Linked DNA regions of Drosophila melanogaster. The protein of the gene in region 1 purifies or fractionates together with the protein of each later gene. This does not show direct contact. Each region holds a gene or a part of one and is shown in the gene's direction. Other genes may lie near its edges.

Evidence for each region.
Region 2: the proteins of CG31343 (region 1) and PPO1 purify together in Drosophila melanogaster (affinity purification with mass spectrometry, with the first as the bait; one large-scale study listed by BioGRID). This does not show direct contact.

Annotation. Positions count from the first base shown.
Region 1 is NT_033777.3:21,743,544-21,749,650, forward strand, and holds CG31343 (uncharacterized protein), read left to right. Parts: upstream 1-1,722; 5' UTR 1,723-1,761; coding exon 1,762-2,312; intron 2,313-2,642; coding exon 2,643-2,798; intron 2,799-2,930; coding exon 2,931-3,644; intron 3,645-3,846; coding exon 3,847-5,074; intron 5,075-5,144; coding exon 5,145-5,381; 3' UTR 5,382-5,460; downstream 5,461-6,107. Other genes in the region: CG5849 (uncharacterized protein), read left to right, coding at 1-444, 505-816.
Region 2 is NT_033778.4:17,886,638-17,891,882, reverse strand, and holds PPO1 (prophenoloxidase 1), read left to right. Parts: upstream 1-1,909; 5' UTR 1,910-1,982; coding exon 1,983-2,338; intron 2,339-2,395; coding exon 2,396-2,531; intron 2,532-2,600; coding exon 2,601-3,095; intron 3,096-3,169; coding exon 3,170-3,803; intron 3,804-3,960; coding exon 3,961-4,213; intron 4,214-4,272; coding exon 4,273-4,471; 3' UTR 4,472-4,663; downstream 4,664-5,245.

The DNA of each region.
Region 1 (6,107 bases):
CGTCGCCTGGCTAAGGAGCATATAATCGATAAAATTTATTTTAAAGATGGATCAGACTACCATGCCATAATCGATTCCGTGTTATGCATGGGAGTTCGGTATCTAAGCGATCAGGACTTCCAAAGGATAATTGATATGATGCAGGAAATAGATCGAGCTTCGGTATACTATGATGACATTATATATGCCCTCCGGTGCACGCAGAGTCATCGGCATCTGTTATACTATCTGGAAGGTCTGATGGGTGAAAACTCCACCCATATGGTCCTTTCCGAATTCGAAGATTTGATGTATCTCCTCTACATATACAAGTCGAATCTGGCCTCTCGTCCGGTCATCTGGCAGTATATCGAGCGCAACTACAAGGTGCTCTGTCGAGCACCAAACTTTTTAGAGCACTTTAAACAGCTCGCTGGATTTGTGCCCAGACATCAGAGATCACATGTAATGAGTTTATATCTATTTCATATCCTACTCGTTTTGTTCACACATATCTCTTTTCAGTTTGAGAGGCTACGCCAGACAATTGCGAACCACATGATGCAGGAGGGTCTTAATACGAACCAAACGCTGATCGAGGTCGATTCTCCGCTGGTGGGCAAAAAGATGAAAATCACCGAAAATTTCCAGGACAAGTTCGAGCAGCAGATCCACAAATGGCTGCTCAATGAGCTTCCTCAGGCGACCAGCAGAAGTGATGCCCTTTTGTCCGCCTCCCTCAGCGCGGCCAATGGGTCAAGTCGTCCTCAAGGAGTCCTAAAGGAGGCGACTAGGGTGTTGCGCAGTGCGTTACGAATAGTAGATATGTATAGGTGACCAGACATTTGGTCTAACTAGGTATCACATAAGTACAGGCTTAATTACGAATAAATTAATTTTTTTCAAAACAAAACAATCGAGTCAATTCATTCAACAGCCAAGAGCTTTTCAACACATTCTAAATTAACTACAGACGTTATCGATTTGTCTGAAACGCCTCCGTGGGGAATTGATAAGCAAGTATAAAACACAAAAGTCATCGATAATAAAAACCCGATCAAATGACTATAACTTTTTTACGCAAAGACTAGTAATTATTTCTGGGTATTTCTGGCCATTAAAAAGCAATTTGAAAAATTTATAACAATTTTGGACATTCAATAAGTCGTATAAAAATATACAAAACTGAACAAAGCCATTACTTAAGTTTGTTAGTTTTTGTACAATGATTACTGAATATTAAAGCATACAAATTTGATATATTTAAAATGTAGCACCTCGTAAAATTAATTGATACTTATTAGCGTTTTTCACGAGTATTTATGACTGTTTTGATTATAGCACTATAACAACTTGCATTTTTTCGTACTTTCAAATACTTAGTCGTCCCAGACGAAGCCATAATTCAAAAATTTACTGCTCCTAATGATGAAACTAATAATAGGAATTTGATTAACAAAAAAGTAATGTTATCCTGCTTTATTTTGATAAGCGTTACGCTACTGAATAATTAAAATGTTACCGAGGGGATTTTTTACACTATAGAGTACCATCTTCAAAACTCTCGTAGACTAATTGTTTTACAGCCCAATCATACTTCACATTTGACTTGTCCCAGTGCACTCTGGGCCAATAACCGTGGCTTTGCCACGTTTTATCGAGAATTGCGCAACAATCTTTATGGCGATCGATGTTGAGGATTAGATATGGCCAAGTCCATAAAAATGCCGTGTTCAAGCGGCGGCCGCTCAATAACAAAGTGTCTTTTACCGAGCAGCCAACATGGCACGGTGGCTGCTTAACTCGTTTTCGCTGATCCTGCTCCTGGCAGTGTGCAGCCTACAGGCGCGCCTGATCCTTCCCTTATCCCTGGACGATGGACAGCTGGAGACCAAGGGAGCAGCCCTCTTTGCCACCTCCCGCGTGGATGATAATAGTGCCGGCAATTACCGACTGCCAAATACAACGGAACCGGAGTCCTACAACGTGGAACTCTGGACCAATGTCCATAATGGCGATACCGAATTCAATGGCACCGTCAATATCGATATCCGGGTTTTGAACGAGACATCGAATATTACGCTTCACTATCGCCAGACGTCGAATTTTGAAGCGACGATTATCAGCCGGGATGTGGCCACGCCCACGGCAATTCCACTCACTGTAACCCCCGAGTTGCAGCGCGAATTCCTCGTCCTTACGCAGACCACCGCTGGTGAGGCATTTGGAGCCAACACCAACTGGACCATCACCATCAACTACACTGGCATCCACCGATCTGATATGGGCGGTTTCTATATCTCCAGTTATACGGACGATGATGGCGAACAGCAGTAAGTTGATATTTTACGAAGACTATACAAAATAATACCATTATTTTATTATGAGCTTGCACAGCCTTTACCCTTTTACCTTTATAGAAAATTATACTTAGGTTAGCCTTCTAATGGATGAGGGAATAAATTGCAAAAGTACAAAAGCTTATCGTGCTATTAATTACAATTGTACCTGATTGAGTACTTGCGGCTAGTTTCATTTCTTATCAAGAGACACAATTTGGCTTATCTTTATAATCTGTTATTAGTACGATGATACGCGCTTACCAAATAAAGATTAATTATCGGTTTAACTGAGTCGTTAATGTATATAACAATTTCTTTCAGCTTCTTGGCCACCACGCAATTCGAGAGCACAAACGCCCGTCACGCGTTTCCCTGTTACGATGAGCCTGCCCGTAGAGCTAACTTTACGATTACCATCCACCATGATCCCTCCTACACTGCCATCAGCAATATGCCAGTAAACACCGCTGCCACCAGGTATGATTTACGAATATATATACAAGCATAGAGGAAACATTACTCATTCGCAGTGTTGACAATGCTAGATACAATTGCAATCGATACTTTTCATGTAAGAAATGCTAACATACTGACGGTTTCGCCTTCCAGCTCGGGAGTCACTGCTTTCCAGACGACGCCAAAGATGTCCACCTACCTGGTGGCCTTCATCGTCTCCGATTTTGAGTCCACCACCGGAGAACTGAATGGCATCCGCCAGCGGGTTTTCTCGCGCAAGGGAAAGCAGGATCAGCAGGAATGGGCCCTTTGGTCCGGATTGCTTGTGGAGTCCAGTCTGGCTAGCTACTTTGGGGTTCCCTTCGCCCTGCCCAAGCTAGATCAAGCTGGAATACCGGACTTCTCTGCCGGTGCCATGGAGAACTGGGGTCTGGCCACCTATCGTGAGCAGTACATGTGGTGGAACAAGCAGAACTCCACGATCAACCTGAAGACGAACATTGCCAATATTATTGGACACGAGTACGCGCACATGTGGTTCGGCGATTTGGTATCTATCAAATGGTGGACCTATCTGTGGCTCAAGGAGGGCTTTGCTACTCTCTTCTCGTACGAATCGAACGACATTGCTTTCCCACTGTGGGACACCTATCAGATCTTCCACGTGAACGACTACAACAGCGCTCTGCTTAACGACGCCCTGGCCTCGGCCGTTCCCATGACGCACTACGTTCAGACACCATCGGAGATCTCCAACAGGTATAACACCTTCTCGTACGCCAAGCCCGCCAGTGTTCTGTACATGTTCAAGAACGCTTGGACGGACAAGGTATTCCGCACTGGATTGAACAAATACCTGACCAAGAAGTGAGTACCAAGCCATTACTTAAATGACCTAATATATGAACTTCTAATGTATAGAGTATAGAATTTTGATTAATCAAAAGATCTAAAATATTTCAAGAACTTAAAAAGCTAACTTTATGATATACTCGTATATACTGGGCTTAAGAGCCCTCATTTTAATTTGAACAGTAATCTCACATTGGAATTATTTTGTTTCGCTCAGCCAATATACATCTTGCGACGAATGGGATCTATTTGCGTCCTTCCAGGAATCGGCCGACGAGCTGGGCTTTACGCTGCCCGCCAGTGTGGACGACATCTTCAGTAGCTGGTCCCACCAGGCTGGTTATCCCCTGCTCACAGTGACCCGTAATTACAATGCCGGCACTATAACGATCACCCAGAAGCGTTATGTGGCGAACAAAACTGATACAAATAGCGCAACTTGGTATGTGCCACTTAACTTTGCCACTGCCAACAAGTACGATTATCGTGACACGAGCGCCACACATTACTTGCTAAATGTGACGGAGACCGTGATCTCAGATGTCGAGGCTTCCAGCGATGACTGGATAATCGTGAATATCCAGAACTCCGGCTATTACCGCACCCTGTACGATACGCAGAACTATGGTCTAATTACGGCAGCTCTGAAGTCTCAGCCCTGGAGGTTCCATCCTCGTAACAGGGCACAACTGCTGTACGATACGTACATCTTTGTCAGCACCGATCGCCTGAGCCACAGCATCCTGCTGGAGCTGCTGGGTTACCTGACTAATGAGCAGCAGTATGCTCCTTGGTCCACTGCCAACACTATTCTGACCGTCTACGATCGTTACTTGCGTGGCGATGATTCTTACTACAACTTCCAAGATTTCGTGAAGCGCCTGATCGATCCCATCTTCGATAAAATCGGTGTAAACGAGATTCCCGGCGAGCATTATCTGAACAACTATCTGCGCATCGTGCTGGTCAGCTTGGCCTGCCAGGTGGGATCCGATGATTGCTATAACCAGTCGGCCAATAAATTATCCGAGTACCTATACAATGGCACAGCCATTGAGGCCACTCTAAAGACTCAAGCCTACTGTGCTGGTCTCCGATCGACTACCAATGAAATCTATAGCAGAGTGCAGTCCGATTTGCTCAGTTCCTCAGATTCCACCGATCGCAGCCTGTTCATCTCCTCGTTGGGCTGCTCTGGAAGTACGAGCCAGCTGCTTGATTTCTTGAGACTATCCCTGGACACCAACAATAGCTTGAGCTACTCGGAGCGCACTTCCCTTCTAAACTCGGCCTATTCCCGCAGTGAAATCGGTCTTACCGCTAGTTTGGAATTCCTGGAGAGCAACTGGGAGGCATATGCCAACCTTTCAGACTCTGCAAAGCCCCTGGATGCTGCCCTGCGTGGCATTGCCACCTATGTGGTCAGTGAGAAGCAAAAGACGAGGGTACGTTTTTTTTTTTTAATTTATAATTCAAAGCAGACTTTTAATTTACTATTTATTAATTATATGACAGCTTAACGCTTTGGTGGATGTTGTGGAGGCTGATGGACCGAGTTATATCAATGATGATCTGAGCACCACCATTGACTCCAGAATCACATCCAACTTCGCTTGGTTGGAAGTTAATCGTGATCCAGTGCTCAACTGGATCGAGGATTCCTTAAAAGAGAACGGCAGTCCCTCTCTGACCTCATCCATCACCACGATCCTGGTCAGTGCGATGGCTCTGTTGCTATTCAGGCTATATTAAGATAACTCACGTGGTCAAGTATTAAACATAAATTCAGTAAAGTGACGTAAATCAACAATAAAGATTGTGTGCTCATCATAGATCGAAAATAGAACTGATTATACTGTGGAATTTTCGGGCTGAATGGAGTCCCCTGGTGAGAAAAGTTCAAAGTTCCGCGGTTGGGAAACTTAACTGATCGGTTTATAGCTTGGTTGACACACATTTGCATTGGTCAATCTAATCGCGATTCTAGGAATGGCATCGATAAAGCACTGATAGTTGAGCTTAGTACGAAATTCGATTATCAAGTGGATATTTACAATGGCCTGAATGGTTTATGAAGTTCACGTGATCATATCAGATTGTGATTGGCAACTTTCAAGAACAATAAGCCATTTTATGGTTTTCAGTTTCTTAATCAATTTCAATGGTTTTACCATTTATTAGAAGATGTCTAGCTGTTGCATAGTATCGCACATATTGCTTAGTAATTCCGTATGGATTAATGGGCCTTTTCTTATCTCAAGAGCGAACTTGAACAGTCTATTATACCATAATAGTTAACAGGCGTGTATATTTCGCTATCATATCAGCACATATGATAAGTACACGAGAACTTCAGTTTCAATTATTATTGTTCAAGATCTTGTTTCGTATAGAAATTATTGCTGTTTTCATAATTAGATAATATGCTGTCATTCCTTTTCATTAATTATAGTAATAGTGTTAAATAATTTTTAGAGG
Region 2 (5,245 bases), on another chromosome or scaffold:
CTGTTCATGAAAGCCCACCCACATTAATGGAGCTGATAAGTTGCAAACAGATTAGAGCCATGAAACTTTAATCAGTTTGGTGCCCAAGTGGGCAAACAATTGAAAGCGTAGCCCACTCGAAATTTTGATAACACACTGCCGCAAATTCCTGCGGTTGGCCCACAACTAATGAATAGTTTGGAATGTTCTTTGGGGCGGAGGCATCATGTGTTTTCGAACCTGGCCGCAGAGTGCTTAAGCCAAAATGTAAAATTTAAGCCAGCGGGTAATTAACGCATACCCACAGCTCATTTTATGGACCAGACTTTCGCCCATAAAGCCAAACAGAAAGAGTGCTTGGCGCCTTTTACAAACTTGCGTGGTTTTTAAGACTTGTTGGTAAAAGTTTGGGTTTTTTCCTTTTTTTTTGTTCTGTTTCGCCGGTGAAAGCAGGCTCTGCACGTGTCCTGGCCTAAAGCTTTTGCTTTGGCCCATTTTCATTCTAATTCAATTCACACTGCCAAGTTCGCAGAAGCACACACTTTTCCACAATTTATAATTAATTAAAGCAAGTTTGTCTTTTGGGCTGGAATCTGGAGCACATTTGCCATGGCTGTCGTTGAATATTCAATGAAAAATTACATTGCTCGGATAAATGTTTGCGTGCAGTCAAGTGTTTTCTAGGAAAAGCCAACTTCAATATACTCTGCAATATATTACTATATTACATACATAAGTGGTATGCATGGTTTAAAAGAATCTACAAAAAATCGTATAAAATATTCTTGCCTAAGTTATTTCAAACAAAAATTCAATTGATGGTAGTCAAATTTGGCTTACATTGCTTACCGTACATAGTTCATAAACTGAAAAGATGGTGTATCTGCTGGAACATCGACATTAGCAAAACAAAGTCGAGCAGAAAAGTCATTTTCATGTTGTTATGGCCAGAGTGCAGAAATTGTGAAAATTCATCTTTTCAATTTTCGCCCGAAACCCGCACATTTATGCAAACTTGTTACGCTCGTTTTTGTTGCTGTCAATTTCACAGATTAATGCGCACACATTTCAACGCCAAAGTCGGCAGAAACATTTATTATTGACAATGGCCAAAAGTTTGGCCATTCGCTTTGCTTTTTGGCCAACATCGTTCATTTGGCCAGACGGCGTAGCGACAAAAATTGATTTACAGTATAGATATTTTAATCATCCAAGCTCTCTTGCCAGTTAGTTCTTAGTTACATTCAGCTACACACTGCCATTTCAAAAACCAAATTTATGGGCCATGTCGAAGGACGAGCCCTCTGCTCCAAGCCAAATTTATGGCCTCCCATTCGGCGATGGGCGGTTCTTTTTAAGGGGGCGTGGCAGCCTGTTGAGCAAGTATTCGGTGTTATTTCTATGCGAATAAGAAGCTTTTCCGGTGGCCTTCGGCTTGTTTACTTTGGGAGTTGTATTTCGCGTGGTCGCAAAAAGGTTTCTCGGATACTTTTTCGGCAAAGACAAAGAAATTCAATTTAAGCTTCCTACCCCGGAACTAATAACTCTTCAAAAAGTTGAAAACAATTAATTGGTTGTGGGTATACATTAGGCAGTGCAGTATTGAAAAAAAATCAGTATATGTATCTAACAAGCTCAATACAGTTTCACGTTTAACAACATTCAACTGAAAATCAACAATGGTATATTATTTTATGCAAGCAATTAAAAGTATTTCTCTTATCATTTTGCGGCTCAACAACTTTTGCGGTATTGCACTTTTTGCTTTTTCAGAAGCTATCGACTAAACCACAACGTTTGGATTTGTGAGAAAAAAGGCTCGACCATTGCAGTTTTGCGGTTGGGACTTGATAATGAATATTTTTAAAAATATTATTTTTATATTCGGACTGCTAGTTAGCTATAAAATGAGTTCGGCTTCCTGGGAAAATCACAGTTCTGCAACTGGCTTCGTTGAGTGAAGTTAAAAGTGTAGTTGAAAGTGTACATCCATAGAGAAAACCATGACTAACACGGATCTGAAAGCCTTGGAACTTATGTTCCAGCGACCCCTGGAACCGGCATTCACCACTCGTGACTCCGGAAAAACTGTATTGGAACTGCCCGATTCCTTCTATACGGATCGCTATCGCAATGACACCGAGGAGGTGGGCAATCGATTCTCTAAGGACGTGGATCTGAAGATCCCAATTCAGGAGTTGAGCAACGTTCCCAGTCTGGAGTTCACCAAAAAGATTGGTCTCAAGAATCAATTTTCGCTGTTTAACAATCGCCATCGTGAGATCGCCAGCGAGCTGATCACCCTCTTCATGAGCGCACCAAATCTCAGACAATTCGTGTCGCTTTCCGTTTACACCAAGTAAGTACTTGTACTAAAATAAATATATATGTATTGTATAATGTATTAATTTTTTAGGGATCGTGTGAATCCTGTGTTGTTCCAATACGCCTATGCCGTCGCCGTTGCCCATCGCCCGGATACGCGTGAAGTGCCCATTACCAACATTTCCCAGATCTTTCCGAGCAACTTTGTAGAACCTTCCGCCTTCCGGGTTCGTTTAAGTTCTTCTTTATTTGACCAATCAAAGTCTTTAATGGTGTATTTATAAATTTGACCACAGGATGCCCGTCAGGAAGCTTCTGTTATTGGAGAGAGCGGCGCTCGTGTCCATGTGGACATTCCGCAAAACTACACGGCCTCGGATCGCGAGGATGAACAGCGCCTGGCGTACTTCCGTGAGGACATCGGTGTTAATAGCCATCATTGGCACTGGCACTTGGTCTACCCGACCACCGGACCCACGGAGGTGGTCAACAAGGATCGTCGTGGCGAGCTCTTCTACTACATGCACCACCAGATACTCGCGCGCTACAATGTGGAGCGCTTCTGCAACAATCTGAAGAAGGTTCAGCCGCTGAACAATCTGCGTGTGGAGGTTCCCGAGGGCTACTTCCCCAAGATCCTGTCCAGCACGAATAACCGCACCTATCCCGCCCGAGTGACCAACCAAAAGCTGAGGGACGTGGACCGCCATGATGGGCGTGTGGAGATCTCCGATGTGGAGCGCTGGCGTGATCGCGTGCTGGCTGCCATAGATCAAGGATACGTTGAAGATGTGAGTTGGGCCCGTTTGGAATATTGAGCATAGGTCATAGAAAGCACTAGAAATTTTTATTTGCTAATCCATAGTCTTCTGGCAATCGTATACCATTGGACGAAGTTCGTGGCATCGATATCCTGGGCAACATGATTGAGGCATCGCCAGTCCTATCCATCAACTATAATTTCTATGGCAATCTACACAACGAGGGGCACAACATAATCTCCTTTGCCCACGATCCCGATTACCGTCACTTGGAGGAATTCGGTGTGATGGGCGATGTGACCACGGCCATGAGGGATCCAATCTTCTACAGGTGGCACGGATTCATCGACACGGTGTTCAACAAATTCAAGACTCGCCTGAACCCGTACAATGCCGGTGAGCTTAACTTCGATGGTATTACCGTGGACTACATTGAGGCCAAGATTGGCAAGTCCAATACCAAGGCCAACACCCTGTTGACCTACTGGCAGAAGTCGAGTGCCGACTTGGCAGCTGGCCTGGACTTTGGACCAACGACCGATCGCAACATATTCGCCTCGTTCACCCATCTCCAGAATGCCCCCTTCACTTATACATTCAATGTGACCAATAATGGAGCCAGACGAACGGGTACTTGCCGTATCTTCATCTGCCCCAAGGTGGATGAGCGTAATCAGGCTTTGAATCTGGAGGAGCAGCGACTGTTGGCCATCGAAATGGACAAGTTCACAGTTGATTGTGAGTAATAACTGTATTTCTTAGTATATATATTTATTTAATATTTTGGTATTTAAAAAGTGTTTCTTTCGTACAAAGCTAGCCAGTGATTTTAGCTTATACTTTTCCCTACTGACAACCTCCTACGATCTATTAACATACTTTAATTAATCCCCAGTGGTGCCTGGTGAGAACACCATACGCCGCCAGTCGACAGAGTCCTCGGTGGCCATTCCCTTCGAGCGCTCATTCCGCCCGGTTGGAGCAGACTATCAGCCCAAGGCCGCCGATGAGTTGGCACGCTTCAAGTTTTGCGGATGTGGGTGGCCACAGCATCTCCTGCTGCCCAAGGGCAATGCCCAGGGAATGGTCTTCGACCTGTTCGTCATGATTTCCGATTACTCGCAGGACTCCGTTGAGCAGCCCAAAACGTGAGTGCTATAAACCCAATTTCCCATCATCAGCTGACATTCTCCTTGTCGCCCATTAGACCCAACGATGCCTGCAGCACGGCGTACTCGTTCTGTGGTCTGAAGGACAAATTGTATCCTGACAGACGCACCATGGGCTATCCCTTCGATAGGCGCCTGCCCAATGCCAATCTCACCGAATTGGTCGGTGCCTTTGGCAACATGGCCAAGACCGATTTAAGGATTGTCTTCAATGATCGTGTGATTGACAAGGCCTAGATGATTGCTCCAACTAACAGAGATGATTTTAAGAATCAATGGAAACGGACTTGAAAACGGAAAACTCTTGGAATCATATACACTTTTTGCTATTAACTTATAACTAACCAAACTTGTGCGCGTTTATGTGGTGTTTTATCGTTTCTAATTACACTCTACAAAAATAAATGTATTGTAATATGTGCAGGCAGTAATACAAGCGAGTATTGACACCTAATGAATGCAGTGGGTAGATAGCTTTAGCCAAGAAACTTTTGGTAAGCTTATAATGTATCTAATAGTCCCAATTTACCACCCGGGGAGACCAAAGAATTTTACAGATTTTTATTTATTACTTTTTCAAGGCAAAACAGAGATTACTCGTTTTCGTTGGCCTCAAGCAAGCCAGCCATGGATATGATAAATATTTACTGATATAAGAAATCCTCGTCTAGGAATATTCGCATGCCAAATATTTGCTTAGCAATATTGAATATTATTTATAGCAAAGAAATACAGATACACAGCCGCAGAAGGGCGTTTATTTGTCATAGACAGACACGCCCACATTTGTGCGAACTAATCCTATTAGACTTCAAAGCGCCTTGCTCGACAAACTTTGCGATTGCCCATGTCCAGGAGGCCTTGGCGTTCCATCCACCCACCAAGTGTTGAGGGAAAATAGAAAAAACATCCTCGCAAAACAGCCAACAAAATCGCTGCACGTGTTGCGTTTATTAATTTTTGGCTTTTACCAAGTCGACGGCCTTAATTAAGCATCCACTAGATGTGGAT